Oreochromis niloticus: one gene and its partner. The protein of the gene in region 1 interacts with the protein of each later gene in a pairwise test. Links are inferred from orthologs where the notes say so. Each region holds a gene or a part of one and is shown in the gene's direction. Other genes may lie near its edges.

What was found.
Region 2: the proteins of slu7 (region 1) and ppil3 interact in binary tests that used the Homo sapiens proteins (3 or more experiments, as listed by UniProt). The link is inferred for Oreochromis niloticus from reciprocal best matches to the Homo sapiens genes SLU7 and PPIL3.

The regions. Positions count from the first base shown.
Region 1 is NC_031966.2:26,438,739-26,454,865, reverse strand, and holds slu7 (pre-mRNA-splicing factor SLU7), read left to right. Parts: upstream 1-8,258; 5' UTR 8,259-8,423; intron 8,424-8,654; 5' UTR 8,655-8,662; coding exon 8,663-8,811; intron 8,812-8,902; coding exon 8,903-9,056; intron 9,057-9,148; coding exon 9,149-9,229; intron 9,230-9,397; coding exon 9,398-9,562; intron 9,563-9,663; coding exon 9,664-9,729; intron 9,730-9,829; coding exon 9,830-9,961; intron 9,962-10,484; coding exon 10,485-10,582; intron 10,583-10,721; coding exon 10,722-10,789; intron 10,790-11,258; coding exon 11,259-11,398; intron 11,399-12,276; coding exon 12,277-12,438; intron 12,439-12,530; coding exon 12,531-12,632; intron 12,633-12,750; coding exon 12,751-12,828; intron 12,829-12,918; coding exon 12,919-13,038; intron 13,039-13,117; coding exon 13,118-13,297; 3' UTR 13,298-13,622; downstream 13,623-16,127. Other genes in the region: nsd1a (histone-lysine N-methyltransferase NSD2), read left to right, coding at 25-84, 184-378, 474-566, 679-802, 884-1,084, 2,781-2,960, 3,665-3,821, 3,914-4,119 and 7 more. UniProt on the Homo sapiens protein: Required for pre-mRNA splicing as component of the spliceosome. Participates in the second catalytic step of pre-mRNA splicing, when the free hydroxyl group of exon I attacks the 3'-splice site to generate spliced mRNA and the excised lariat intron.
Region 2 is NC_031977.2:29,283,646-29,299,176, reverse strand, and holds ppil3 (peptidyl-prolyl cis-trans isomerase-like 3), read left to right. Parts: upstream 1-7,467; 5' UTR 7,468-7,557; coding exon 7,558-7,560; intron 7,561-7,781; coding exon 7,782-7,856; intron 7,857-8,641; coding exon 8,642-8,735; intron 8,736-8,829; coding exon 8,830-8,897; intron 8,898-8,983; coding exon 8,984-9,102; intron 9,103-9,211; coding exon 9,212-9,338; 3' UTR 9,339-9,806; downstream 9,807-15,531. Other genes in the region: lrrc8ab (volume-regulated anion channel subunit LRRC8A), read left to right, coding at 1-1,941, 2,124-2,399; uncharacterized protein zgc:101858, read left to right, coding at 10,376-10,399, 10,640-10,810, 12,099-12,277, 13,114-13,207, 13,322-13,391, 13,487-13,523, 14,161-14,224, 14,387-14,545. UniProt on the Homo sapiens protein: PPIases accelerate the folding of proteins. It catalyzes the cis-trans isomerization of proline imidic peptide bonds in oligopeptides. May be involved in pre-mRNA splicing.

The DNA.
Region 1 (16,127 bases):
TGAAAGTATTTTTTTGTTCTACAGGAGCAAAAACGTCACAGTGCAATTACATCGGAGGTGAAGGTGTTGGTGAAGAAAAGACAGGTACTAAAACCTCGAGATGTGGTTTCTCTGCGTTCTCGTATAACACCAAACAATATGATACTAGAATTAATCATAAAAAAATCTCATCATATTGGATAGTTTGGATTTGTGAAGAACGACAAGCCCATGTTCAGCACATCCTCTTCTCCTGCTGCTGCTTCTGCTGCCTCCAAGCCCCCAGAGAGCAGATCTCCAAGCCCCAAAGGATCCAAGACCCCTAAGCAGGAGGCTGAGGTGGAGGCCTGCAGCACTGAGGAGAAACAAAACACTGGAACACTAACTCCCAAGGCCGAGGTATGTATGTCGTGCTGATAAGCTGCTGAGTTCTTGGTCGTCCACCTGTGGCATTTCATTTACAAGCAGCACTTGACTAACAAATACCTCCGTAGGTGCTGCCGGCCGGCTGGAATGACAGTCTGTCCTCACAGGTGGATGTAAAAGGCAAAATAGGAGCTGCATCCTTGAAGGAGAGTGTCTGTCAGGTGAGAGGGAGTCTATCAGAAAGTCTAGATTTTCTGCTTGGTTTGTGGCACATCCCTATATTTGGGACCAGTAAATCATTAGTTGGGTCTCTTCCTCCGTGTGTTTGAGCAGGTGTGTGAGAGGACGGGAGACCTGCTGGTGTGTGAAGGCCACTGTTACGGAGCTTTTCACCTACAGTGCATTGGCCTGTCGGCGCCTCCGAAGGGAAAATTCCTCTGTCGTGAATGCAACACTGGTGGGTACACCTGAAAGCACAAAAAATGCACGCTACGGCATACCTGAGTTTAATTCTTCTGGTTGTTAATGATCCTCTCAGGCGTTCACGCGTGCTTCGTGTGTAAGAAGTCCGGAGATGGGGTGAAGCGCTGCATAATCCCACTGTGTGGGAAATTCTACCACACGGACTGTATAATGGCCTACTCGGCCACCCAGCCTCACAACAAAGGCTTCCGCTGCCCCCTGCATGTGTGCCTGTCCTGCCACATTACCAATCCCCTCAACATCTGCAGCTCTAAAGGTGAGCGCCACTGCTGGCTTTGATCCAACCAGCCATCTACTTTCTCCTCATCCAGGTTAGGCCTACCATACACCAGAAGATGCTTCTATGTTAGGATGTTTTAAGATTTTGCAGAAACCAGGGTCGTTTTTTGCAAGACTACAACTAGGTGACGTGAGGTTTTTTAACAGGACAGTGAATTAAAAATAGAGCTGTCAAGATTTATTTAAAGTGTAGTGTTTTACCTTTAATTAGGAAGGTTTAACAACTAGAATCAGTCCGTTTAGTAACTGCAGTCATTTATTTCCCGGGAGGAGACAAAAATCCATTTTGTGGTTGCGTCAGGAAGAGCATCCGATGTTCAAATTTGCCAAATCAAACATGGAGCTACCCGCTGTGGCCAGCCCCTTGTGAATAGGGGAGCAGCTTAAAGTGGCTTTTAAACAGCTCCCACGGAAATGTGCTTAAAAGTAGTTCTCCAGCTGGCTGATAGTTATTTCTTCATTTTCACCGAGGTTTATTATTAAAAATTTGCATCCAGTCCAAAGAGGTGTTGATGCAAGTAAAGGAAGTCTTCGATTCATAGCAGAAATAGCAGAAACTTTAGCAGTGAGCGCATCAACAACACCTTGGTTTATTCTTAAAAGGAATGCACTCATGAGCACTGCCAAACCAAGAAAAAAAGGACCGTGAGGACTAAAGAGAACGACTGAAGTGGATGATTGCAGAATTCTTTCCTTGGATAAAAAACATCTTTTCAGAACATCTAGCCGAGTCAAGAACACACTCGACGAGGCAGGCGCATCATTGTCAAGGTCTATAAAAGAGGCGGCTGCATGAATGGAAATGCCGAGGGTTTATCTCAGCATACAAACCACTTGATACACACAAACAAAGAAAGGCCAGATTAGACTAGAAAACATCTAAAAAATAAATAAATAAATAAAAATTCTGCCCTTTTAAATATGATCTAAGCACGTAGTGTTAAATCTCTTACAAACTGAATCCTTTCCAAACTCAAACCCTGCTCTGACTGCAGGGTTTTAGAGGCCCTATAGTTTCACCTTGCTGTTCTAATCTTGATGCTCGCCAACCACAGGAAGGATTCTTGTTTCTTAAATAAGAACAACAGGTTACGTGATTTTGGACACAGTCTTTGTTTGCATGTCACTTTGAATATTGATGGCCTCTTTTGAACTCTGGATTATTTAAGGGCTTTGCACTTCATGCCTGGAGATATTAGGATTTGTTTCTGTGATTAAGCTTTTTCTTATGAATGACTCAGTGTCTTTGCATAAGCACAGGCTGACACTTGAGTATGTGTAATAACTGGATTCATTGCTCGTGTGTCATGTGAAATCGGGCATTTAGCCAGAGATTTTTTGACACTTATAGCCTCACCTACAGTACCAAGTGCACATCATAATCCTTGATTTTTAGCAGTTTAAAGTGGCTTCATAAAATACTGACTGTGCAGGATTTTGGCATGTAATCCAGAGTTTTAATTCAGTGGACTGACGAGACTCCTTCCATGTGCTTTGTACTACGATCTCTCTTAATAATCCTGTAAGACTGAGTCTTATGTTCCAAATCCAGGGACAACATTTGGAGTGAAAGTGTGTAAAATGGTATGTGTTGTTTTGTTTAAAAAAAAAACCAAAACAATCCAGATGTGCCTGAATTAAGCCGTGCTTCCTCTCACTTTTGCATCTCTCAGGTCGGTTGGCTCGATGCGTTCGCTGTCCCGTCGCCTATCACGCCAACGACAACTGCATGGCAGCGGGCAGCTTGGTGCTGGCGAACAACAGTTTCCTCTGTCCAAACCACTTCACTCCTCGCAAAGGCTGCAAGAACCACGAGCACATCAACGTTAGCTGGTGCTTTGTCTGCTCTGAAGGTCAGCGCAGTCTTGTAGCATGTGCATGTCTAATAATGAGTTCAGGATTAAAATATGAGCTTTCAACAGACCGTCTCCACCGTTCAAATGTTAAACAAAAAACACACACACAAAGAAAGGCAGCTGTTCAGCGCCGGGCTTTATTATTCAATTCAACATAATGCGCTCCAAATTATTTTTATGCTCTGTCCCATTTTCCACTTAAATGCTCCCACTTGGCAAATGGATCTATAAATTTACTTCTGCTTCTTGTCTCTACTCACAAATCTGCCTCTGAAACCCAGCAGCTATAAAAACACACAGTTTGACTGCTGAAGTAACATGTTAATGTTTAATGCTCTTATTTCTGACACTGATTTAAATTAGTGCCACTGATCTCATTTAAATACTCCGACTCACCTCATTTAGTCCTGAGTATCTACATTTGTACTGATTAGTGTCACTTGTAGTGGCACTATAATAAGTCAGTTACTGAATTAGCTTGCTGCTGCTGATAAATATTCAGCTTGGTGCTTATTTGCTTGTTTTACCTCACAAATGCTTATATGTGATATGGACTGTTCTCCCTTACCAACTTAGAAGAAAATTTGCAGGCCTGTGTGACCTTATAATCATTGTTCCAAACATAACTACAGACTGTTGCAGGCCATATTATGACATGTTATAAAAAAAGCTCACTAATCGCTCACGGGTTGTGTTTCTAGGGGGCAGTCTGCTGTGCTGTGAAGCCTGTCCTGCTGCTTTCCATCGGGAATGCTTGAATATGGAGATGCCACAGGGTAGCTGGTTCTGCAACGACTGCAAAGCTGGAAAGAAGCCCCGTATTAAGGACATCCTGTGGGTCAAGTGGGGGCGTTACAGGTAGGTTAACAACACTGGCAATCACACAGAGGCTCTGCCCAACAACTACTGGAGCCATATTTGTATTTCTGAAACCCGCTGTGTCTCTTCAGGTGGTGGCCTGCTGAGGTCTGCCTGACCAAAGAGGTCCCAAATAACATCTTAAGGATGAAACATGAGGTTGGGGAGTTCCCGGTGCAGTTCTTTGGCTCCAAAGATTTCGTGTGGACATACCAGGCCAGAGTGTTTCCCTACATGGAGGGCGATACTCACAACATAGAAAAAATGGGCAAGGGTGCAGATGCAGTGTACAAAAAGGGTGCGTGCTTAAGGTTGCTGAGTGCATGTTGATTCTTGGTGTAAGGTGCATGTTTAATAGTAAAGATCGTGTGTCTCTTTGTAGCGCTGAATGAAGCGGCCGAGCGGTTCAAAGAGCTTCAGGCAGAAAAGGAGCTGAAGCAGCTTCAGGAGGACAGAAAGAATGACAAGAAGCCTCCTCCATACCGACACATTCGGGTACCGTGTGTACATCTGTGCTCATCTAGCCCACGGCAGAGCAGTTAACTGAGACGTGCTGTTAAAATCTCACCCCTGTCTCTGTTTCTTAGGTAAACCGGCCAATTGGGAAGGTGCAGATTATCACCGCTGACCTCTCAGAGGTTCCACGATGTAACTGCAAGGCGCTTGACGAGAACCCGTGCGGCATCGACTCCGAGTGCATTAACCGTATGCTGATGTACGAGTGTCACCCTCAGGTGTGCGCGGCAGGGGACCGATGCCAAAATCAATCTTTCACAAAGCGCCAGTACACACCTGTGGAGATTTTCAGGACTCTGTCCTGCGGCTGGGGTTTGCGCGGCTTGTCGGACATCAGGAAGGTGGGTCGGAAACGAATCAGGCCAGCATTGATCGCTTTAGTTGTAACCACATTTTACTCATTCCTCGGTTTCTCCGTCTCTTTTTGTCTTTCCCAGGGAGCTTTTATCAGTGAGTACGTGGGCGAGGTGATAGATGAAGAAGAATGCCGTGCCAGGATCAGGCACGCTCAGGAGAATGACATCTGCAACTTCTACATGCTTACACTGGACAAGGTAAGTATCTGAGTCAAATACTAACAGATGCAGCCTGAACGCGGCACGCTTGATTAACAGTGCAGATCGGATGACGTGTCCACACTCATTTGCGCTTTTTTTCACTCCAGGATCGCATCATTGACGCGGGGCCCAAAGGCAACCAGGCTCGCTTCATGAACCACAGCTGCCAGCCGAACTGTGAGACTCAGAAGTGGACTGTGAATGGGGACACCAGAGTGGGGCTGTTTGCTTTACAAGACGTCCCAAAAGGTTTGAAAAGGTTTTTTTTCTTTCTTCAATTTTTAGGGGGGAGGGTTGTATTTAACAAGATCATCCAGATTATTTTAATTACACATCCGATCTAATGCAACAACTATTTCAGGTGAGGAGCTGACTTTCAACTACAACCTGGAGTGTCGTGGCAACGGGAAGACTGCCTGTAAATGTGGAGCACCCAACTGTAGCGGTTTCCTGGGTGTCCGGCCAAAGGTAAAACTTTATATTTATTCACAACTTTACCTTCATTTAAATGATCCTCTGACCGCACTTACAAGAAGAGCTGCCTTGTGACCTTCCCGTTCCTCGTCCGCGTATAGAACCAGCCAGCAGCTGAGAAAATGAAACCTAAGGAAGGAAAACGGAAGGTCCCCATGAAGAAGAAGACCAAGCAAGAGGTGACCAAGGAGAGGGAAGATGAGTGCTTCAGCTGTGGTGACGGGGGTCAGATAGTTTCCTGTAAGAAGCCGGGCTGCCCAAAGGTCTATCATGCTGACTGCCTCAACCTGGCCAAGAGGCCTGCAGGCAAGTAGACTTTAAGGAGAGCACACAATTTGATAGCCGTGTGTAGCCAATCGTTTTTACATCGAGCTCTCAGGGGGTTTGAATATCCTCGAGCATGCATGGAGCAAACAGAGGTGACTGGGTGGTTTCTGAGGTGAAGGTTCTCCAAAAAAAGGCAAAAATAAAATGTAGTTTTGATGAATGTGAACTTGAAGAGAAATGTTAAATATTATATTTTTGTTAGCTATTTGTGAGTCAAAAATCTTACTATTTGCGCATGTTTACTGTATTCATTCCACATTTGATTTGCCTGCAGGCCGATGGGAGTGTCCATGGCACCAGTGTGACGTATGTGGCAAAGAGGCGGCTTCGTTCTGCGAGATGTGCCCCAACTCATACTGTAAGGAGCACAGAGAAGGCATGCTCTTCATCTCCAAGCTGGACGGCAAGTTGTCCTGCAGCGAGCATGACCCCTGTGGGCCCGACCCGCTGGAGCCAGGGGAGATACGCGAATACATGCCCAACACGACCTCCATGAGGCCCGGGGCTGTTGCCTCGCCCGTCGCCCCTTCTTTCGTCCCCGTCACCAGACGAGCGGGTCCTTCCGCTCCCGTCTCCGCCCCAGCTGGCCAAGCGACTTCATCGAGGCAAGAGCCTCCTCCTCGTCTCTACATCAACACCAAGACTGCTACCTCAAGCTTCGTCCCCTCCGGCAGGTCCTACCTCACGGGCAGAACTGACGAGAAAGCTTTCCCCACTCCTGCCTCCTCCGAGGCAGAGAGAGAGGACGGGGAGGTGGAAGATGGGGAAGTGTGCGGGTTGGACGTCGAGGGCGTGGAAGATGACGATGACGACGACGACGACGATGAAGAAGACGAAGAAGAAGAAGAGGCCGATGACGAGGAGAATGATATGGAGGAGATGGAGATAGTAGAGGACGAGGAGGATGAGCCACCTTATGGAGGAAATCTGCCAGAGGATGATGATGAGGAGGACGAGGAGGGCGGAGACGAGTATGACACTTGGGGTGATTATGTGGAGGAAGACGATGGAGAGGTGGAGGGTGAGGACGAGGAGGACTGGGGGAGAGTGGAGGATGATGACAAGTGACTGTTCATCCTGTCCTTCCTTATATCTCAGCAGCAAAACTCTCAGTAGACATTGAAAGGCCTGAAAGAGTTTCATATTTTGGTACCTACTTGAATGCAACACTGCCTTCACTTTGGTACAACATTGCCTTCTCATCTGCACACCGCTGGACTGACAGCAGGGATGAGTACTGGTGCTAAGGCTTCGACGGCTGCTTTACTCAGCCCCTTTCTACTTCTGTTGATATGTATGTGTCTGGTGCTGTTTTTTTCTCTTGTTGTTTCTCTTAACAATGTTTACATTTTTTGGCTTTTTTTTTAAGAAAAAAAAACCCTGTTTGGAATATAAGAAAAAAGGTGGGAAGCTTCACCTGACCAAACTGTCATCTTAAGGGCATCTTATGTTGTTGTTACTGTCTTAACTTTGTCTTTCCAATCAGAGCAGTCCTCAAAACATTGTTCTCACATGTCCGTGTTACAGTTAGGCACAGGGAGTACGCGCCTGGTGCTTGTGAGGAATGCAGAAATAAACCCACTGGAGTCTTCTTGCTATAAATGATCTTCTCACAACAAAAACTACCCCAGTTTCTTTTATTTGATTGGTTCCTTCTGTTTTTTTGTTTGTTTGTTTGTTTGTTTTTTCCAACGAGTAGCTCACAGCTCAGGATCTTTGGCACAGAGAAATAAAAGACAAAAGCGTCATCTTCTCAAAACCTAAACATGAATCACAGATGTCGCCAGTGTTGGTTTTATAACCGCGCTGCTGTTGCACTGACTAAATTAGAATAAAATCCTTGTACTTACTGGATCTCAGTATCCAAGGATCTGTCCACATGTAACAAGAAGAACCTTTTCTGAAGCATCTTTTATACACATACACATTGCTCTTACTGGGTTGGACCACCTTTGTGCTTTCAGAGCTGTCTTAAAGTCATCATGCTCAAGAAATCAGTTTGTGAGGATTTGAGCTTTGTGACGTGACACCATTAAGCAGCCATCAGAAGATGGGTACACGGTGCCATACAGGAATGGACACGATTACTATTTTCTATTGCCCGACCAGCTTTAATATTTCTACATGCTTAAATACACTCAGGTGCTGCCATGTGGCTAGTTGATTAGAGATTTGTAATAATGAGTACCTAAAACGTGGCCAGTAATTATGTACAGACACACAAGTTCATTTCGCTAAGAGAAATCATAAATTAAAGCCACATTAGAGACTACATGTTGCATAAAACTGACACAGTTCTTCAGAGAAACACTTCTGAGTGAATTTTAACAATATAGTTTAAGCTATGCTTTTTTAGACTTGAGATATCAGATCAAAAAACATTCAAATAAAGGGTTAGAAACTGAATTGCTTCAACTTTATTGATATGAAATTTCCCAAGTAAAAGAAAGTAAAGACCACCTGATTTCTTGCGGTTGAGGTGGTGTACTCTGAGCAGAGGGAGCGGCGGTCGGCCTGATGTTCCGACTATGTCCGCTAGAAGTCGCTGTTTCCGGCAGCGATTCGACAGAAAGGATGTGACGTAACTATAGTTGATGTAAAATGGCGACGATCGCATTTTAGTCAAAACAGAACCGACGAGTTTTAAAAAAGGGGTCAAATAAAGGGAAAGTTGCTGATTTTACGGAAAGAATATAAACATCAAGTTTATTTGTGGAGCCTTATCAAGGTAAGTGAGTGAGCTGGTTTATTAACTTTCACAGAAATGAAGTAAAATGCCTCTTCTACATGTACGTCATTGGGCAGGTAAACTAGGTTAGCCAATACTGCTATAAAAACTGTAGTTTTAGTCTTTTTTTTTTTAAAGAAGGGAAGCACATAATTGCTGAGTATAGGTGAACAGGACGGGTGTTTATATTAACCCGTGACGGCGTCCCCGGTGGCGTGTTTCTGGCGGCAGGTTCAGACATGACCGAGCAGACCAGCGTTAACTCGGAGGGGATCGTGGGCCTGGATGAGCCCAAGAAGATGACCAGAGAGGACTGGAGGAAGAAGAAGGAGCTGGAGGAGCAGAGAAAGCTGGGAAATGCTCCAGCTGAGGTGGACGAGGAGGGGAAGTAAGTTTTTGCCTGGGCAGAAAGTGTGTGCTTTCAGGCAGCTGATGGAAGGAATGATGTGATTTGTAACGTGAACGCTTCTGTCCTACAGGGACATAAACCCCCACATCCCACAGTACATTTCATCAGTGCCGTGGTACATCGACCCATCAAAAAGGCCCACACTAAAGCATCAAAGACCACAGGGTGAGAATGAGAAGCAGTACTCTGCAATCGGAGAGTGGTACAAGAGAGGAGTGCAGGAGGTGAGAATGAGGCGAGTTTTTCCTCTCATGTGGACACAGAAGTAGATATATTGCCACAAAATCTAAAAGCTTCACTTTGTGTCTCCACACAGAATGCAGTTTCAACTAAGTACCGTAAAGGGGCTTGTGAAAACTGTGGTGCCATGACACACAAGAAGAAAGACTGCTTGGAGGTAAAACCGATGAAACAGTTTTACAATTATCTGCTGGAACAAATTAATATTCAGGGTTTGCTTATCCTGGATGTCAAAGGCGTATTACTATCATTATTATTATTATTATTATTATTGTTATATTATTTGTACTAAGCTAGCATCTTACCTTTCATTTTGTCACACCAGCGACCCAGAAAAGTTGGTGCTAAATTCACAGGAACAGGGATTGCTCCAGATGAACACGCTCAGATCCAGCTCGCCATGGACTATGATGGAAAGCGTGATCGCTGGAATGGCTACGACCCCGAGGAACATCAGCGCATTGTTGAAGAGTACGCCAAAGTAGATCTGGTAAGCGGACCAGCATGATTGAACTCCAGAGGTCAAAACATTGGTTAGCCGGTGTTGTTGTGGTCCGCCACCACACGACTGAATTCTTATTTGTTTCTCAGGCCAAAAGGACACTGAAAGCACAGAAACTTCAGGATGAGTTGGCCTCGGGAAAACTGGACCAGACTGTAAGTGCTCACTCATATTAACATGGTAATAATACATTTTCCCAGTTTTGGAGGCAAATATCAGACTGCAGTTTAATAACTTTACATTCTTTCTTTGTAGGAGCGGGAACATGACAGTGAAGATGAGGATGAAGACAAATATGCAGATGACATCGACATGCCCGGTCAGAACTTTGACTCCAAGAGACGAATCACTGTCAGGAATCTGCGTATCAGAGAAGACACAGCTAAAGTAAGAGCCACGTAGTAAAACATTAGTCATTTGTGCTTTCTCTGATGATAAACTGTGTACACAGGAAAAAATGAATACAGAGCACCGTGTTACCGCCCACATTATTGTGTAAAAGCTCTGAGCCACACCATATTCCTTTTATATTTTTCTTACAACAAGACTGTTATATCGGGATCTTGTTTAAGTTGTGAACATGAAAAAGCTTAGAATATTTCAAGCAGCCTGGAGAACTATTACTGCAGACGACTTACAGAAAATACAAGAAGGCTGCCTAAGAGAGTTGTGTTAATGAATAAAGGTGGTTGTACCAAATATTGACTCAGAGGGCTGTTGCAGTTACACAGACTCTGTTTTTGCATCATATGTTGTGTTTCATTTGTGTTTGCATGTTTCCTTCATGTTTGTTTTCAAGTGAAATATAAAAAAATCAAATGACTTTTCAGCAGTTCTGTATATGAAAGATGGGGTACTGCAATTTACTAATTTCTCTGTAATCTGAACTCCTCGTGTCTGTTTTTCACAGTACTTGAGAAATCTGGATCCAAATTCAGCGTACTACGATCCAAAGACCCGAGCAATGAGAGAGAACCCGTACTCCAACACGGGCAAGAACCCTGATGAGTAAGTTATGGGTTTGGGTTTTTTGTTGTTGTTGTTTTGGTTTGGTTTTTTTAAATAAAATCAACAGAAGAATAGTAGAAATAGTCTCCCAGTAACTGAGTGGACACTGAAATCATTTTTGAACTGTTTTGTGTAACAGAGTGGGGTACGCTGGAGACAACTTTGTTCGCTACAGTGGAGACACAATTTCCATGGCTCAAACACAATGTAAGTCCTAAAGTTATGGTTCCTTCTTTTCAAACACCTCATAACCTTAACTCTTTAGGTTTTGGAAGTATGACTTTACTTATATTGGAAATAACTCTAGAGATTTATTTATTTTTGGCCACTGTGATCAAAACTGTTGAATGTTTGACTGGATTATAATAGGTTACCAAAAGTCTTCCAAAAATTTAAAAAATCAGCATTTATAGAGTAAAAATCAGCTGCAAAAATGTAAAAAGCAGCCTGCTAACAATAGTGGTTAACATCTATACATCTATTTAGACATGGCTAAATTAAAAAGAGTGCCTCTCCTGTCACACGTATGTTATATATGAGAAACCAAAAGGCAGTTACAGTTTCAGTTAGTTACTTAGTAAAGGATAATTATGAATGAATTATGAAATCTGAGCTTTTTCTTATCTGATAGGACCACAGAGTGTAATTTGTTGTAATTGTCATTGCCTTGTGACAGTGTTTGCCTGGGAGGCTTATGAGAAAGGCTCCGAGGTGCATCTGCAGGCTGACCCCACCAAACTGGAGCTGCTGCATCGCTCCTTCAAGGTCAAGAAGGAGGACTTCAAAGAAGAACAGAGGGAGAGCATCCTGGAGAAGGTACACGGCTGATATATATTTATTTAGCAACAGGATGAGGCCTCTACATTTTTTATTTATTTATTTTTTCCAAATATGTGACGCAGCATGCATAAAGCCAAGCAATGACACGATCAGGAACAGTATTCCAATATTTCCATTGCAGCTTAACTTCACTGTCTCTATATGCCTCTCAAAAGTATGTCTGGAAAAATGTAGTTTATTGAACAGTTTCTGATGCATAAACCATTTACCCTAAATCCTCATCCAGCAAACCTCCCGGGTTTGAGGTGAAAACCCACTCAGTGCAACCACACACGCCTGGAAGCAAACCTTACCAGCCAGTCAGTGAAATTTGCTCCCTCAGTGACTTTTTGGTCTTTAATCTCTGTTGATAACACGGTGTGGAAACTAGTAGATTGCTAGAAGTGGCTGTTTATTTATTTGCACTTCGCTTGTAGTTTCCGAGTTCCCAATTCTAATCTGAATCCCCCCCCTTACTCGAAAAGCTGGAGTAGCACCACCTAGTGTTGAAGGATTTATTGATATGAGCATTTATAATGGCCAGTAAATGAAAATAAGAGTGAACTATACATGAGAGATGGGAGAAACATTCTTCAACCATCTTATGATTGCAGATGTTGCATAGTTTGTCCACCGGATGGCACTCTGCAGCTTCTCTGTTGGCAGCACGTTTGAGAACGCCACAAACAACCAGTCGATCTGAGCAGTCGGGCTTGGATCAGCTGTGTAAAGGAGAAAATAAATAACTAAAAATGTTAGGGATATCGGAAAGAAAAAAAAAATCGGCTGATATATCAGAATCTCAGACTGAACTCCATATCAGTCACAGCCTGGGCTTTACTGATGATGTTTCTGCTCTTGTGTGTGACAATCAGTATGGAGGCCAGGAGCATTTGGATGCACCACCGCGGGAGTTGCTGTTGGCCCAGACGGAGGACTACGTGGAGTATTCACGTCACGGCGCTGTGCTGAAAGGACTCGAAAAGGCTGTCGCTCGCTCCAAATATGAGGAGGACGTGCTCATCAACAACCACACTGTAAGGAGGGCAGACTGTAGCAAATGTGTGGCTAATTTTTGTACATTTTAATTATGTTTTATCCTAAAATCAAGATCATATCTCCTTGTTAGTGTATTTGGGGTTCCTACTGGAAAGACGGCTTCTGGGGGTACAAGTGTTGCCACTCCATGGTCAAACAGAGTTACTGCACAGGATCAGCTGGAATTGGAATTGTAAGTACATTTACTGAGAGTATTTGAAGGGTTTGTTTGATGGATAGGATATCAGTTTATAAAGTGGTCACAGATTTCTCACTTTCCAACTGTGTTTTTTTTTTATGAACCCCTGCAGAACAACTCGGAGTGCACTCCATTTGAAGAGGTACTAACTGAGCCACAGGAGGAGGAACAGCCCAAGACTCTGCTAGAAGTAAGGGACACTGTTTTTTAAAAAAATGCAGCAGTTAATGTTAATAAGCTTAAATGTAATGTTCATTATTAAAATATTCGTGATCTCCAGATGCATCAAGATAAGATGAAAGAGAAGAAGAAGAAAAAGAAGAACAAAAAGAACAAGAAGCGCGACTCTGACAGCAGTGATTCGGAGGATGAGGAGAAGAAGAAGGAAAAGCTGAAGAAGGTGATGTTTTTGTTTGACTGCCGTGTTTGTTTTGATGAGTTTCTCCGTGTCTGACCTCCAACCGCCGTCTCCCTCTCAGGCCCTAGAAGCAGAGGACAAGCGGGTGAAGCAGGTGGAGGTGCTAATGCAGCTGGATGAGAGGAAGAGGCCGTACAACAGCTTGTTTGAAGTAAAGGCGCCCACTGAGGAGGAGATGGAGGCCTTCCGCATGAAACGCAGCAGGCCAGATGATCCCATGGCTTCCTTCTTGGGACAGTGACCTTTTCAGTCCCTGCAGATTCCCCTAAACTCTCCCCAAGGACTCTACTAGAGCAGCTGCTCAGTAAAATATAAAATCCCTCATTCACTCAAGTTTTGTGTTTTGGAAAGAAGTGCTGGAGAAACTGTGTACAGTATTTTGTAAAAGTTAATGTTGACACATTGCTTTGAAGCTTCAGGTCCATAAAATGTAGAACAACAACAAAAAAGGTGTTTCGCTTCAACAGGAGACATTTAAATACTTTCAAACCTTTCAAATTCAGTCTTTACAGGAAACATGAGAAACGTAACTGCATTTTTTTTATAATAAAATCCATTTGCCTGAATGTATGGTTTTTTGTTGTTGTTGGGTTTGTTTGTTTTTTTGCGGGGGCGGAGGGTTGTACATGAGGTATGAGCAATGGATGGAAACATGACTTGGGGTTGGCTTTCAAGGCCTACATGTATCATCAAGCGGCTGATCCTCTTAATTTTGCTGAACCTCAGTAGCTGTTGTTAACACGGCTGTGTATACATATCATGTTTTCCAGTTATGGACTCCAGATCCAAAGAAAGACATGGAAGAAACTTAAGTATGTGGGGAGATTTGTAAATTGGTACACAAGAACAGAAAGTAATATGGAAAGAACTCTTCAAAAGGCATTTCCAACATTTCTGTCAGGTCTGAGACTTCATCGATTTAAGTACTGATCTGAAGAGAAAGCAGAGGATTACTTCATACTGACCTCCACTACAGGCCAAAATGAAACTGAAGCTACCCTTCTGGTTTCTACCCTTCACTGAATCCCTGCTGTAGGGAACGGCTCGTTTATGTAATGTGCTCAGTGATCATGTTCCCTGTGTAAGTGATCAGGGTCTAAATCCACAGTTCTTTGTAAAAGTGCCCACCAGAGTTATTCTAGTTATTGTATTTTCTAATTATTTATTTATTATTTTTAAATTTCATTTTGACTCTCTTGAGCCTGTGCTTTTCACTTTAGTTTTTAATTGTTTATTGTTTTAATGTTTTGCTTTTTTCACTATTAGCTTTAGCCTTGCACAATATCATTTTACAGAGGGCAAATGCTGGAGGCAAGATTTAAGAAGATCAGTTCAAGTTTCACACAAAAATCCCGCAGCTTCTGAAAACAGTTCATTCACAGTCTTGTAGACCTCCAAACTCTCATTAGAGATGTCAGTTAAAACCTCATCGGGGAAAGCTGTAACTTTACTAAACTAACAAACAAAAACTAAAGACATTTCATCAATATTTGTATTTAATTTAATTGTATTCGTTTGCCAGGATTACAAAATCATGTCACAGTTAGTTTTGACCCCCCCGCCAAGTCTAGTTTTTATTTTAGGTAACACGGTTTTTCACATGTAAATTGAGTTTTAGAACTATTTTACTGCATAAGCTTTTAAAAACCAAAAACTGAACCTTGCAAGGTGTGTTTACCTTTCGTAACGCTCTCCTTCTGAATGAAATGCTGCTTCAAAGCAGCGACGAACAATTCTGGATAATTTATTTGGGAAAAAAAGAAATAATTATGTACTTTTTAATTTTGCTTTTTAAAGCCTTGGATGTGTGTTAAGCATAACTAGGGCAAAGATAAAGCGGGAAAGAAGGGAAATGAATAAAATCTCAAATACCTAAAAAAAAAAAAAAAAGTCACCCAGAGCGTCACCTAACCTAATGGACTGAACAGAAAAATGAATGCAAAGATGAGATGGCTACCTCTTCATTCACTGGGTGATTTTCTGGAAAGCCCTGATGAGGGTTCCAAGGTGGAGAAGAGGACACCAAAAACAAGCAGTCAATCCCAGCGTGCCTTATCTCAGACTGCAGGGAGAAGTCTGTCCTTGTGTGCCTCATTAACCAGGTGCACACATTATCCACGTGCATTACACATGAACACAGTCCGAAACCTAAAACATGGCAGACGTGTTTTTTGCAGTGTACAGTGCAGGACTATTTTAGTGCTCTTAATAAGAGAAGGAAACGCAAATGTTTTGTTTTTTTTTTCATTTTCTTTTTCTATTATTGCAACATTAGACCGCTTCTGAGGATATTAGTATCTAAATGCATAAAGTGTAACAAGCTAAAAGTTTCTGCTTTATCTTTTTTAGCCCTCGTTGTGTAATGTCTTGCTTCCTAACAGCAGAGTTTGTGAGCCACTGATGTGTCACTGCTTCAGCTGTTGCACTGACTTGAATGTAATGACATCATGGTGAAAGTATTTTTTTTTTTTGGCCTATCACTCGCATAAACAGGGCGGATGTTACGGAGGCTCTGGGCTGCACATTTCTCTGCAGAGCTTCTCTTGAAGAATGCTGCCTCAATCGTTTGCTGGAAATGTAGGAAGGTTTGTGCGCTCTGATGCAGAGAAAGGGCTCGGACAGAGCTGAAAAATACCCATGGGTCATAATTTCTCAACTGGTGAGTTCTTACTCTGTGCTTTTAAAATGGCTGACACACTCCCTTTATATAACCTGCTGTAAGCTGCATGTTTTTATGTAACCAGAACATATAACAGATCCATCACATTTGTCATTAGTTACTGAGTGATAGCATGAAAATGACCACGCCATCTAGATGCCCGTCCACATGTTGTGTTAGGTTTTAGTCTCTGGTTGACTCCAGGAATCTTTTACCAGATGTTTGCATCATCTGATTAATGGCTGCAAAACTCAAGTCAGTATAATTGTTGTAAACAGTTGCTTCCCCTTGCCTCGTTGTGACTCTACAGTTCCCATCATGCTCCAGATGTTTGTGATGATCTATGTGCTGTCAGTTGTCGTCTCGCAGTCAACAAATCCCCCATCTAAGAGAGGTCGGAATTTCACCATCC
Region 2 (15,531 bases), on another chromosome or scaffold:
TTGCCCTGCAAATGGGTGGTCAATGAAACCTGCAAGAAGAACTTCAATTCAAGCATCACATCATCAGTGCCCAAAGGGATCCAGTATGATTTGGACCGCCACCAGTACAATTATGTTGATGCTGTCTGCTATGAAAATACATTGCACTGGTTTGCCAAGTATTTCCCCTACCTAGTATTACTCCACACCCTTATTTTTCTAGCTTGCAGCAACTTTTGGTTTAAGTTTCCACGGACTAGCTCCAAACTAGAACACTTTGTATCTATCTTGCTAAAATGCTTCGATTCTCCGTGGACAACAAGGGCACTATCAGAGACAGTGGTTGAGGAAAGTGACCCAAAACCAATGAAAATGAATGGCTCGATGGACCACAAGGAATCTGTAATAAGTGAGGATGTTGAAGCAAGTGTTCCTATGCTTCAAAGGACAAAATCACGCTTTGAGCAGGGCATTGTAGATAGAACGGAAACAGGAGTTTTGGACAAGAAAGAGGGTGAACAGGCAAAAGCTCTGTTTGAAAAAGTGAAAAAGTTCCGCATACACGTGGAAGAAGGAGACATTGTATACAGACTGTACATACGCCAGACTATTATCAAAGTCATCAAGTTTATTTTGATAATCTGCTACACAGGGTATTATGTGCATGATATTCAATTTAGTGTTGACTGTTCTGTAAATATAGAGAGCCTGACTGGTTACAGCGTGTACCGTTGTGCTCACCCACTTGCTACACTTTTTAAAATCTTAGCGTGTTTCTACATTAGTTTAGTGGTGGTGTATGGTTTGATCTGCATGTACACGCTTTGCTGGATGCTTCGGCGCTCCCTGAAGAAGTACTCCTTTGAGTCAATCCGCGAAGAGAGCAGCTACAGTGACATACCTGATGTGAAGAATGACTTTGCATTCATGTTGCACATGATAGATCAGTATGATCCTCTGTACTCCAAACGCTTTGCCGTGTTCCTCTCAGAGGTAAGCGAAAATAAGCTGAGGCAACTCAACCTCAACAACGAGTGGACACTGGACAAACTCAGGCAGAGGATAACTAAGAACTCTCAGGAGAAGTTGGAGTTGCACCTTTTCATGCTTAGTGGCATTCCAGATACAGTGTTCGATCTGATGGAGTTGGAGGTTCTTAAACTGGAGCTAATCCCAGATATTACCATTCCCCCAATCATTGCTCAGCTGGTTAACCTGCGAGAGATGTGGCTTTATCACACCCCAGCCAAAATTGAAGCTCCAGCTTTGGCTTTTTTGCGTGAAAATTTAAAGTCTCTGCATATCAAGTTCACCGACATTAAAGAAATCCCCTTATGGATCTACAGTTTGAAGAATCTCAGTGAGCTTCATCTGACAGGGAATCTCAGTGCTGAGAACAACCCTTACATCGTCATTGATGGGCTCCGGGAGCTCAAGAGACTCAAAGTGCTTCGTCTGAAGAGCAATCTCACCAAGCTACCTCAAGTGGTCACTGATGTGGGCATGCACCTCCAGAAATTGTCCATCAATAATGAAGGAACCAAGCTCATGGTGCTCAATAGTCTAAAAAAGATGGTAAATCTGACAGAACTAGAGCTTATTCGCTGTGATCTTGAACGCATACCACACTCAATCTTCAGTTTACACAACTTGCAAGAGATTGATCTGAAGGATAACAACCTGAAGACCATTGAGGAGATCATCAGCTTCCAGCATCTTCATCGGTTGGTCTGCCTTAAGCTCTGGTACAACCAGATTGCCTACATTCCTATTCAGATTGGCAACCTGAACAACCTGGAGAAGCTGTACCTGAACAGAAACAAGATTGAGAAGATCCCCAGCCAGCTGTTCTATTGCCGCAAGCTGCGCTTCTTGGATTTGAGCCATAACAACCTAACCTATATCCCAACAGATATTGGCTTCCTCCAAAATCTTCAATACCTGGCAGTGACAGCTAATAGGGTAAGTGATGTAATAAGCATCGTTTCCAAAGATTTTAATATTATCCTAATTATAGTTTGGAGTTTATCCATAATGCTTTATTTGTATTATTTATTTGCTGATAAAACAATAAATTAACTTAGAAGTCATAATTTCTTTCCTTTTCTTTCCCAATGGAAAATCCCTTGTTCTTTAAAATACAGATTGAGAACCTGCCTAATGAACTGTTCCAGTGCAAGAAGCTTCGCACTTTGAACTTGGGAAACAATTGCCTGCAGTCTCTACCATCACGATTTGGAGAGTTGACTGCATTGACACAACTAGAGCTTAGAGGAAATCGCCTAGAGTGTCTGCCAGTGGAACTTGGAGAGTGCCGACAGCTGAAGAGAACTGGTCTTGTGGTGGAAGAGGACTTGTTCAACACACTGCCCACAGAGGTCAAGGAACAGTTGTGGAAAGCGGACAAAGAACAAGCTTAAAAAACAGGTTTGCATCTGCAAGTACAGATACTGATTTACTGGCTCTGGACCTACAAGTTGGTCCCAGATGCTTGCCATAACAGGCAGTATTCCTGCTGCATTGTGCCGTTTCTAAGTTTGGGCATCAAGAACCAGTGCCAGATTGGTAGAACCAAAATCCTGGCAGTTTCTGGTTGTCTTCTTAGTCTATTTGATTTATTAATTCCTTGACAAAAAACTTCTCAGGCCTTTACATTATAATCCAGTAATGATGCTTTTTAGCAATAATGTAGTTTGAATCTTGTGTTTACATTTTTATGCCTCTCGATTATGGTATAGAAGACAGCGTATGCAACACTCGGAGCCAATTTTACTGAAAAGAAAAATAACACTGATCAATACTAAAAACATCAGGTTTAATACATTAAAATATTCTGTCAGGTGTTCTGGTTTGAAGGCACAATGAGATGGCAAAATTACTTCCAAGACATCTTTATTTCTGTATATAGACGATAATCACCTGTTTTGAGTTACAAAGATGCTATTGAGAGTGATTTGATAGTATGACTTAACAAAACAGTAATAACTATAGATGAGTGGAGTATAATTATACTGAGAGCCTTGTACCTAAAGGTGGTTTACAAAGTGGGAAGAAGAGGGCCATAGAGGACACTGTTAGTATTGTAGCGCTAAAGGGCTTTTTGTTAGTTGGTTGGCTGAACATCTTTTGATACTAGAATAGACAATTTGGCAGAATGGAGGGTTCGGTTCCCTCTTTCTATGGAAAGATGTGTGTTTGACCTAGTGCTTAAGGAAAAGCAATTATTCTGCTGAATATCACTTATTGCACTAGCATTAAAATGGTATTAGTGAAGCATATCAGAATACAAACCTTACTGCTAGTATATCTTTAATGGAAAATAACATTTTCACACAAAAGTATATGATATGTTTGCAATAACTTGCACATAACAAAATAAAATGCGGGGGAATGCTTAAAGATTTTGAATGAGATGAGTCATGTCTGCCTCATAGGAATTCAGATTAAGTTTATACAGAATGACAGTGGTGAAATTAAAATGGAGCCTGAAAGTATTTGCAATATGTCTGTCAAACGTAGAGGCTTAAATGAGATTGGGGCTTTTTTTTTTTGTAGCAGATGTAAAAAGAATCACTGGTGATAAGCAATGATAGCTCAATAGCTACAAATAAGAAAGACCAGACATGTCATCATGTCTTTAAATGTATTTTTTAAGCACCTCGCCTCATGTTCATTTGTAGTTTGTTACTATAACATTGTAATATTATATTTTCTACCTTGATAGGATTCAAATTCTGTTACTTTATTATTACTGGACTGCATTAGTGTGCAATGTTCAGTGAAGAAGCTGCTCACCTATGTGTGAGAAAACACACATCCTAAACGTTAAATGTTGGAAATGTTACATATTACTCACTGAGGTGAGGATAAAAGTCACTTTTACTGTTTTCTGCTGATATTAAAAAGCTAGTAGTAAAGAAGTTTGAAATTTTACTGCTACAGAATCAATCTACATTCCAATTAAATGAAAAGAAAATGAAGTAAATCTTACAAGTCGATCAGATTAGTTGCCTTATTTTCTCCTCTCATTGTCATGAATTGATTGTTATGTTTCCGTTGTCTGGTCAGATGAAAATTGTTAGTTTTTCAAAGTGCACCATAATAGTCAACCCCAGATAGTGATGGAGCTATTGTCATAGTTTCCTTTTTTGGGGGGGGGGTCACTTCTTGCAAAATTTTCAGAAGTGACCATGCTTGACACTTAATATGTCTTAAGTTGATTCCCCACCCCAACACATACCCAGTTTCTGTTTTTCTTGTAACCTCACCTTGTGATATTGAGTATGGTTAAATGTTGGTTTAAATCTGATCACCGGTCTTGTTCCTCACTATTAACAACTACTGCAAAGAGTCGGGGTCAGCAGAGAGCAAACCTTGTAATTTAAAATGTCCGGTAAAACTTCTACAAGGCTGTACCTAGCTGTTGAGTTTAGATTTTGGTTACTGAAGATGCACAAAGTGTAGTTTATTATTAATGTTTTATTTTTATTTATTTATTTTATTTTATTATTTTTTTTTTAAAGCTCATCTGTCCAAAAGACTGTTGAGCTTATGCCAGGCATCCATGGTGTATTGTTCATTCACAAGACAGTGTTAGTCACAATATAATCAAGCTTGCACACACAATCACCCAGTGAATCTTCACCTAAGTTGTGCTCAAGATCGAGGTCATTTGTTGTTTTATGGGCAATAACCTCTGAGTTGTGATGGATCGGGTGTCAGATAAGCTACTATGTCATTGACGTTCTGGGTTTTGGGGAAGGGTTTTATCTGTTTGTTGTTTTTATACCTTTCTTTGTTTTAGTACTAGATGTACTTCTTGCAGAAACGAGTTCCTGTTAAGGAAAAGAAAAGATATGTTTTTTGTTTTGTTTTGTTTTTTAAATCAATAATCAGACTTAATTGGAAGTAACCAGTGCATTCTTTTCTCAAAATATAAACTTTATTTCTCATAGTTAAAGGCAGATTTAATCTTCACTAGTTTTTAATTAAGAAAGAGATTTTTAGGTAAAGGTTTACTTGTTTTTGCTCAGTTGAGAGTGACTGTTCTGTATTTTTGTTTTGACACAGTGACCAAGACAAAGCTAAAAATGTGGAATCTGATATTGATCCACAGTTCTGATGCAGCATAACACACAACAGAAATTCTTGTATTTACCCCAAGAAAAATACAATTCCTGTTCTAATAAAGATTGACTGAAGCAATATACATAATAGAAAACATTTCAGCTATGCGCATCTATAACCGTGACATGTTTGACTATGCTATGTTGTGCAGTATTACATTTATTTAAACTGTATTGTTAGTAATGATATAGATTTCTAATGTGCATTTGTATTCCTTTTGTCACATTGGTTTTACTAAAGACATGGTGAGATTTTCACATTAAGTAGATTAGAGATTGTTGTGCTTAAAGGATGCTTTTGCACTATAGCACTTCTCTCAGAACTTACTTTTAGATGTTGCAAACAAAAGTGTACAAGTTATTGTATGCACATAGAAAAACCTGTTTTGGGCATTTTCCAGTTTGGGAAGGTTTACCTGAATGACTGCCAGCCACGAGATTAAATTTAAGTTTACGCTTAAGCTTTTACATAGAAATATTAAAAAGGGAAAAAAAGAGATGGATTTTGGTCTTTAGTGGAGCATTTTGAGTGACACCCACAAACACATCAGCAGTACACCTATTTAGTAAGAGAATCGACTATTCCATTTAAAAGGGACATCATGTCATCACGTCTAAGTGATTTGTTGCAATCAGTACTGTAAATAAGTGGTCAGTGCATAGTGTAGTAACATTAAATAAACATGTTTTTGTCTTAGTCACTGTTAATCTTTCTTTTTTTTTCATTTTTATTATTAGACTAATTTTATTATTTTAATTTTGATATCTATTAGGATTATTGTAGAACTAAATTTCTCAGGAAAGCAGCCAGTACTCACTTTTTTTTTTAGTTCACTGTCTATTATTATTATTATTATTATTATTATGGTATTATTTTTTTATTATTATTTCTGGTATTTGTAATAATTTAAACAGTTGTGATAACATTTTTATATCAAATTTCTATACATTATTTTTTAGTTTTGTGTATTTAATAATAACTGCTGAATTGAAACTAAATGTATCTGTATTTTCAAGGAGAAACCACTTTATTTGACCTTGCTTGTGTTTTTGTCAAACATCTCATGTCTGAATTGTGTCTTCATTGTGAGCAATAGATAAAGCCCAAGTGTGTATGTCTGAATAATGGGACCTTACCCCTTGGTTTCTGTTTTCTATTTTTAATTTGTATTTTTTCCTCTTAAAATGTTTAATTTGGGTACAAAATAATTTTCCATCTTTCTCTATTACAATCAGACGTGTTATCTTGACACATTTGGTTTTGTGCAGTTTTGTTTTGTTTTGTTTTTTGCCAAAGGAACATCATCAATGCATTAGTACCGACACTGAGTGTGTTTGAACATGTTTCTCTTCATGTCTTGTACACCACTGACTCCAGTAAAATAAAAAAAATGAAGTAAGCCACATTTGTCTTGGTGTCTGTTGGGCTTTTGGCACAAACTTTTCTCAGAAATTGCTCACTGTAGTGCTAATGAAATTTACTCTGAAGATTTTATGAACTAATCTGTTCTCAGGTGTTTTACACCAGCACGGAGAACATGTCATAAACCCAAGCCTTGAATACTCGGAATTTTCATTAGAGGTGATGCTGTAATTTAGCTCGTTTTTATCTGACATTATAAAGAGCCTCTTCAAATCTTGACGTGCCATATATCTTAAAAACCTTCATCTCTGCTTTGTGCTCTGCCTATGTCTTAATAGCGTCATCACACAAGGGTTAAAAAAATTACATAAAGGTTTAGCTTGATGTGCAAGTGTGCACATCAAACTAGTGTGTAGATGCAGATACTGACCTGTGTGCAAATGTGTAAATATGTATAACATCTCTCATACTGTAGGTGTTCAACTGACCTTATGGTGGCTGCAAAGACCCATATCATGCTACAGTCACACACGTTCAAACAGAGGTTTGAGGCAGTGGCATGACCAAAACTTTTACAAATTGAAATTTCCTTGTCGCAATGAGTTGGCTATCCTATTTGTACTCTAGTGTGACTGAGCCATTATGCCCTCATGGGCAAAGCTATTGTCATGCAGGAAGATACCACTCCCACCTTTACAAAAATCCTTCATCATAGGATGAAGGGGATCACTCACTAAAAATTTTTTTGCGAGGACCATTTCCAGAAACTGGCCAACCACGCCCAAACCATGTCAGCAAAATGTCCCTCCCCTCACTGTTAGTGCCAGTGATTCATTTTTTTTTTTTCTTTAATGTTTCAATTGTCTGCCCCTCTCGTATTTGTCTTTGTTTCATATATATATATATCTATATCTATATCTATATATATATATATAGATATAGATATAGATATATATACAGATATATATATAGATATATAAAATAAAGACAACTACAACAATTTTGTTTGCGGAACCATTCACCGCTGGGTACCCATCCCCACACGGACATGTTTCTTCGACACACTTGTTCACAGACGCAACATTTGAAATGGTGAGTTTCATTGTCGCATTTACAGTCGGTATTTGTCAAAAGGAGGTTGTTTCCTAGTATTACGTTATAACGGTTCTAAACAGGCTACGAGTCACCTAAAGCATTGTGTAATAATGTAGTTCTTTGCGATAGCAGGCTAAGCTAGTCAAGTAGTTGAAGTTGAAGTTCGGGAGAAATTCCTTGTTTTCGTGATGTTTTTGATGTTCTTGTCTATTTTGCAGGCTGTTACACTTCACTCAGATCTAGGAGACATTAAAATTGAATTGTTCTGTGAGCGCACACCGAGGGCATGTGAGGTAAATGTATTTCTCAACCTAACTCTCCCTAGCAATCAAGCCTTTTATTTTAACACTCTTACATTTTATGGATCTTTACGTGAAAAAGTAAGACCATCCAGCACTCGATTTATTTTCTTCCACTAATTCAGGGTCGTAGGTGGGATGGAGTTTATCCTAACCCACTTAGACCTTGTGTTGTTGTAGTATGAGAGTACGCTCAAATGCAGTTTTGGAACTTTCTGTATGAAGTTTGCATGTTGTTCCTGTGTGTGTGCATGGGTCTTTCGGATTCCTCCCACAGTCCAAAGGCATGCCAGTTAGATTAATTTGTAGTTCTGAATTGAATGCAGGTGTAAATGATGATGATTATTGATAAATCAAATCAAATGAATGATTGAACTGATTTAGGACATTTCTAAGAGGTTACTGACCCGATTTCAGACTTTATTCAGATTTGTGTGCACCTGATGTGTCAGAATTACTTTCCAGCATGGCACAAGACTACAAAGAGCCTTAAAACTCAATTTAAAAACTCAGTTCTAAGATATACTGTCTGCAATGAAGATGAAAGAGGTGTGATGTGGTCACCTCTGGCAGATAAAGTTCTTTACAATCTAGACTCAGAAATGATCGTATTCTGTCAGATAAATAAAGATAGTCAATGCTTAAGGGCGATGAAGGTGTTTAAGATTGCAAATTTAAAAAAAAAAAAAAAATGTAATAATAACATTTGTAAAATGGTAATTTAAAAACATGACAAATACACGAATTTGCATTTAATTTTGCTGGTGTTTTTTTTGCAGAACTTTCTTGCTTTGTGTGCCAGCGGCTTCTACAATGGTTGCGTCTTCCACCGAAATATAAAGGGCTTCATGGTTCAGACCGGAGATCCTACAGGTACGGGGATGTTATTGTTTTTGAAGTGGCAAAAAAAATATATAAAATGAACTTCCTGTTCATTGCATCTTTGTTTTCTTATTAAAACCTCCAGGCACCGGTAAAGGAGGAACAAGCATATGGGGGCGTAAATTTGAGGATGAGTTCAGTGAACACTTAAAAGTGAGTAAATCCTATAGCTAGTTGGTTTAAGCTGGTTTTGCCCAAGTATCATTCCATAGGAATGTTTTTCGTTCTTCTGATTTCAGCATAATGTAAGAGGAGTGGTCTCCATGGCAAACAATGGTCCCAACACGAATGGCTCCCAGTTTTTCTTCACCTATGCCAAACAGCCTCACCTGGACATGAAGTACACAGTGTTTGGAAAGTAAGCATCTTATGCAAGCCAACAAAAGAGGTTTGTTGGCTTGCATACTGGCTTTGTTACCTCAGGTAAAATTGAAACATTTGCTGACTGCTTACCCTCTAAAATTTAGGATCATAGACGGCTTGGAAACACTGGATGAGCTGGAGAAGCTGCCTGTGAATGAAAAGACGTTCCGACCACTGACTGAAACTCGGATAAAGGATGTGACCATTCATGCTAATCCTTTTGCTGGATAGCAGATTTTCACTTTCATATGATACAATGCTTGTTGCCTTGCTAAAGTCAAAATACTTTTCAAATGGTAGAACTGGAGAGTCCACTCACATGCCCAGACAGTGGGCAGGGTGCTGACTTCAAAGCTACAAAGTGTTAAATTGTCTTAACTTTTTATACGGTGTAGTTCCTGATTTTGCAACTTCATGTAAAAAATATATAAAAATCAGGGGGATGTCTTGTTTCCTTTAAACAATGAACTTTGTAAACAAAAATAAAATATGGACGTAACCGCCATGATGTCACCCATTGGTTAGTGAAGTCTCATTCTGAAGTGTTTCAAAGTTGTTTTTTGAAGCTGACTGTCACAAGATGGAGATGGATCTAAACAGGAGACCAAAGGACGCCACACACTTGGCACTGACATGTGAATGATATGTTGTTAACCAGTGAAAATATCCTGGATATTTCTTAGTTTGTGCTTCTAAAAATGACCATATTTTACAAAATGATTATGATTTACTTAGTTAACCTGAAACTAGCAGGTGAACCCAAAGTTATCAGGAAAGTGTTTGCTGAGGTTACATAACAAAGGAGCTGAGGATTGTTTCCCCATAGACTTCTCTGTAAACGCAAGTCTTTTTGCAACTTTAAGAGTCGCCTCCTGCTCGTCGTTAAAAAGACTACAGGTTGAAGTTTGCTGCACCTTTCAGACCTGAAAGATGTGTCCATATTTTACACTGTCTGTGTTTTAAATCAGTTTTGAAATGATTTTTTTCCTTAACAGGTTCCTCTCCATTTATTCAAGTTTAGTCTTAAAAGGGAATGTAATAAATTGCCAATGTTGCGTATTTAAAAAAAATAAAATAAAAAACTTTTGTAATTAAAATACTTTTGGTTTTAGCATGTTTTCAGAATATGTTATACATGCAGCATATTTTTCGTGAGTGTCCACTTCACATCTTGTAGTCCTAAGAACTAATTTGAACTACAAAGGAGTTATTGCGTCACATTGCGTCATCAGTAGTGGACAACTGTCACGCGGACCCTGGTAGAAATCATGGCTACAGGTGATGCGTTTAAAGTAAGTTTATTACCTTGCGTGGGTTTACAGTGCTTCGTGGTTGCTCATTTATGACTTTGGTCATATATTTATTATTATTCATTTATTTTATCCAGGCGAAAACTCTCATTGAGAGTTAAATTTAACTTCCAAGAGAGACCTGGCTAATAAGGGCAACAAAAATGAACTAAATACGGGCTTATTTCTGCAAGTTAAGATACCTCGGAGAAAGACTTGGAGGTTTTTTGCTGTGTATTGTAGGTGTCATCTCTGAAGGGGAAAGTGGCCCTGATAACTGGTGCCAGCTCGGGAATCGGAGCCGGTACGAGCGTCCTGTTCGCTAAACTCGGAGCTCTGCTGGCTCTGAACGGACGCGACGTGGAAAACCTCAACAAAGTAGCCAAAGAATGCACAGACTGTGGAGCCGACGAGGTACATAACGTAGTATGCTTCATATATATATCTGCACACACTTCCATAATGTAGTTGAATAAACACAAGTTGGATGCTGTAATAACAATATTATACTTTTATACATTTTCTGGCGGTTGGTACGACCTCCTGTGACCTCCTGTTGGTCAATTTAATGACCAACAGGAGGTCAATTTAATGAGCAGAACTAAGATATTAAACAATTTTAGTGTTTGTAACTACATCAGAATTACAAAAACAAGCTTGTACTAGAGACGCACTACTACTTACTGTATACTTTGTAATTTACACCTTACTAGTAGCTGGGTGGACCCCTTCACAAATGCTTTAATTCTTCATGGCATAGATGCAAGAACATACAAGAAACATTTTGGAGATTTTGGTCCATATTGACTTGATAGCATCACACAGCTGCTGCAGGTTTGTCCCTCGCATGTCCATTTTACAAATCTCCCATTTCACCACAGTGCCAGAGCTCATTTGTTGGATTCTGGTCATTTTGGGGGCCATTTGAACAAAGTGCAAACTCATTTTCATGTTCAAAGTGTGTCAAGAAAACTTCCCTCACACCATTACACCTTCAGCAGCAGCCTGAACCTTTGATGCTATGCAGGTTGGATCTGTGCTTTCATGTTGTTTATGCCAAATTCTGAGCCTACCATCCAAAGCAGCAGGAATGGCACCCGCTGTGGTACCCTGTGTGGTCTTCTGCTGTGGTAGTCCATCTATTTCAAGTTTTGATGTGTTGCATTTAGTAATACTCTTCTGCATGCCTTAGTTGCAATGACTGGTACTTTGAGTTACAATCATCTCCAAGCAGTCTGGCCATTCTCCTTTGGCCCCTGGCATCGGCAAGTTATTTTTGCCCAGAGAACTGCCACCCACTGAATATCTTCTCTTTTTCAACCCTTCTCTGTGAATCCGTGAGATGGTTGTGTGCGAAACCCCCCCCCCAGTAGATCAACAGTTTCTAAAATACTAGGATAATTCTAATGCTCACTTTAAACTTCAGCAGGTCCTACCGACCACGTCTACATGCCTAAATGTTCAGAAACTGGCTGATTAGATATTTGCATTGTAACTAACAAAAGTGACTGGTGAGTGTAAAGAAGCAGTTTTTAAGGCTGGTGCCACTATTGTTATTACTTGACCAGGCCGATATTTGTGCCTTTAACAAAACAGTTTGTTCTGTATTTACTGTTACTTTAGTGTTGAAGGCATACATTTTTGTCACCTTTATAAATAATTTAAAAAACAGTTCTTAATGAAAGGTTGTGTGTGCATGCAGCCTCTACTCGTTCCTGGAGACCTGACTGATGAGGAGATTGTGAAAAGCACGGTTGAGAAAACTATCGCTCACTTCGGCCGGCTGGATGTCCTGGTCAACAGTGCTGGCATACTGGCAATGGGCAGCATCGAGACAACAGACCTGGCTCAGTATGACAAGGTCATGAACGTTAATGTGAGGTAGGAGACCTGGCTTTATGTAGGAGATGTATTGGTATCAGTTTCACAAAGCCATATAGTTGTTGATTAAAGAAGAGGTTAGATATAAAACTGGGAAAGAGAAATAATTTATTACATGGCACTCTTCATATATTAAGAATATCTTTATATAATAATGATACTTGTCAAACTGTGAGGGTATTTTTTTAAGATGCTGCATTTGAATTCAACTGAATATGAGATTTATTTTATTTAAATATTCTAAATTGTACATGACGTTTAACAGTTAATATTTTATTATATTGTGAGCAGTTTAGCAGTACTGTTTAATGTGTGCCTGCGTGCTTGAAAAGTAGAATTAAGCATGTTTAACCATCTTTACACACCATGGACACAATGAAGCTGCATGTATGAAAATGTAAGGGTGTTAAAATATAAAATGTTAAACAATTGATAAGAACACGGTGTCCTTTTGAAGTAGATTTTTTACATACTTAGGATGGCCAATCCTTCTAATGTAGGATCCATTTAGTCCTACATTAATTCTATTTGTGCTGTAAAAACAGGTTGGAATTCACAAGCAAAAGTGAATTCTGTGCAAATACAGATTTAACACTGCCATTATCGACAGGAACATTATCTCAATAGAACCATTCATCAGCTGTCTAGACTGGATGTAGCCTGATTAATGTAGGCCTGGTGAGATACTGCTTTTACTACAATGGTGAAGCCAATCACAGATGTCAGGATGTTAACTGACCTTTGCAGTCTGGCAAGCACTGGTTATTATAATGAATCATAACTGCATATTTAATGTTCAAAGACTTTTAAAAGTAATTTTAGTTCATATATTACAGATCTATATACCACCTGACCCAACTTTGTGTACCGCACCTGATCAAGACCAAAGGCTCCATCGTCAATGTATCCAGTGTGAACGGACAGAGATCAGTGGGTACTCTGCATGTAGACGCAATATTTAAACAGCACCATCCATATGCACTATCTTTATGAAGCTATGTGTTATAAAGCATCATCAAAGAAGTGTAATTTTTCTCTCTGTAGTTCCCTGGTGTGTTGGCCTATTGCATGTCCAAGGCTGCTATTGATCAGTTTACACGTTGCATAGCACTTGGTGAGCTCTTTATTACCTTCATGTGGACAGCAATATAAAACTTTGCATTGGCACATAAGAATGGACCATCATGTAACTACATTTTTAAATTTCAGAGCTGGCATCAAAGCAGGTTAGAGTGAACTCTGTCTGGTAAGTGCAATAAACATGTTATTGTTGCACAAGGTTTTCAAACGTGCACTGCAGCCCTTCACATTTTCAGAGATTGCGGATATTAAAAGTGCTGATAGTGAAAATAGCACAAGCAAAGTGGGCATCATATGCCTCCTGCCTGCTCTAACCACGCAGCACCCTGGTATAAACCAAACAAAGAATTTGACATCTCAAGCAACTACCGTTGGCGGCTGTGGCTCAGGTGGCACAGCAAGTCATTTCCCAATTGGAATGGTCAGTGGATCAATCTCTGACTCATCCAGCCTTGTGCCGAAGTGTTCTTAGGCACCCCTGATGCATCCATCGGAGTGCGAGTGTGTGCGCCACTGTTAGAAAGTGCTTAGAAAGCACTGTGTGATTTTGTGTGTGATTGGGTGGATGGAACTTGCAGTAGAAAGTGCTTTGAGTGCTCCACTGAATAGAAAGGTGTTGTATAAGTATCAGTCCATTTACCTACTGCTGTGTGCTACACAGAAGGGGCAACTTCAAACTCCTGAACTGGTTCTCCAAACTTTTTCGAGAGTCCATGTGTGAAAACTGCTTTCAATTCTGCGCTGTTTGACTGTCCAAAACTCTGATGGGGAGAAAAAAATCATTTCTGATTTTATTTGTTCAGTCCTGGTGTGATCATCACCGATGTCCACAAGAGAGCGGGACTAAATGAGGAACAGTATACCCAGGTAATATTTACTGTATTCAGCTGAATAAATATGTATAGAATCTCAGTCATGCAACTCAAGTCATCTCAAATGTGAGGATCTATTTCTTTAATTTTTTAGCAGCATAACCAAAAATGTAACTTTATACATTATTTTCTTATCGTTTTATATTTTTACCACCAGTTCCTTGATAAGTGTAAGCAGACCCATGCCCTCGGTCGACCAGGCGAGGTGGAAGAAGTGGCCCACAGCATTGCTTTCCTGGCGTCTGATGCTGCCAGCTTCATTACTGGAGTCAACCTGCCAATTGATGGCGGCCGTCATGCCATGTGCCCGAGATAAGACCGTGTATGTACAGCACCCTGTACATACATGGTGTTATCTGGTCTTATCAACACCCATACAGCACTCTGCTAATACAACACTTTTAAACCTCGAGTCTGTCTGTGTTTTTGAATTGCATAAGGCTGCAGTAACATTGAACGAGTCCCCCTAATGGCATTAAAATTTAAATGATGATGAAAGCTGCTAGAGAAAAAAGACATCACAGACACCATTTACCTTCATCTGTACAATGGTAGTAGTGGCTGGCACGACATCAAATTTCCAGGTGTGAAATGAACAAAAGGAAACTAAAGTGTCACAAACAGGCAGTTTAAATGCATTTATTTTGTTGCGTTTGAAAATTTTCTTTGAAGAAAAACTTGGAAAGCTACTTATCAACAAAGCTTTCAGACTTTTTATTGAATTACCTATCGAGGCGTTAGACTTAAATGTCTGTTCGGACCAAAACACTGTTAGCTTGTGTACAATGGTAGTTAAGAGTTGTATAGTGTAAAAACAAAAAAATCCTCTGAGTTGTTATCATTATTGCATATTTCAGTAAGAACCTTTAAACCTCCAAATGACAAAAAAATAAAATACAATCCTAAAATGGTGCCTAGTTTGAAGATTTTAAATAATCTTTAAATAGAATCCACTGATAATAAATGTTGCATAGCTATACATTTACATTTTGACAAACTTAAATTATTTTGTCAGACTCATACAAAGAATATTGAAAATGTTAATACCTTGAAAATATAATTTAAGAAATTTGGCCTGTATGTATACGTAACAGTCTTCCCTTTAAAAGCACAGACATAGCTTTGCTGACAAGAGTTTATCATACGCGTGTCGACTGCGGCAGCACCAGGTGTCACCTCTGTGTCATCCCAGATCATATCGGGCAACGACTTGTTTTGCTGCAGGATGGGAGGAACAGAACGAGGTAGCATCTTGACACTTTTTTTTTCAGTTCACACGAGAAATCTTTGCTCCACCTTGAC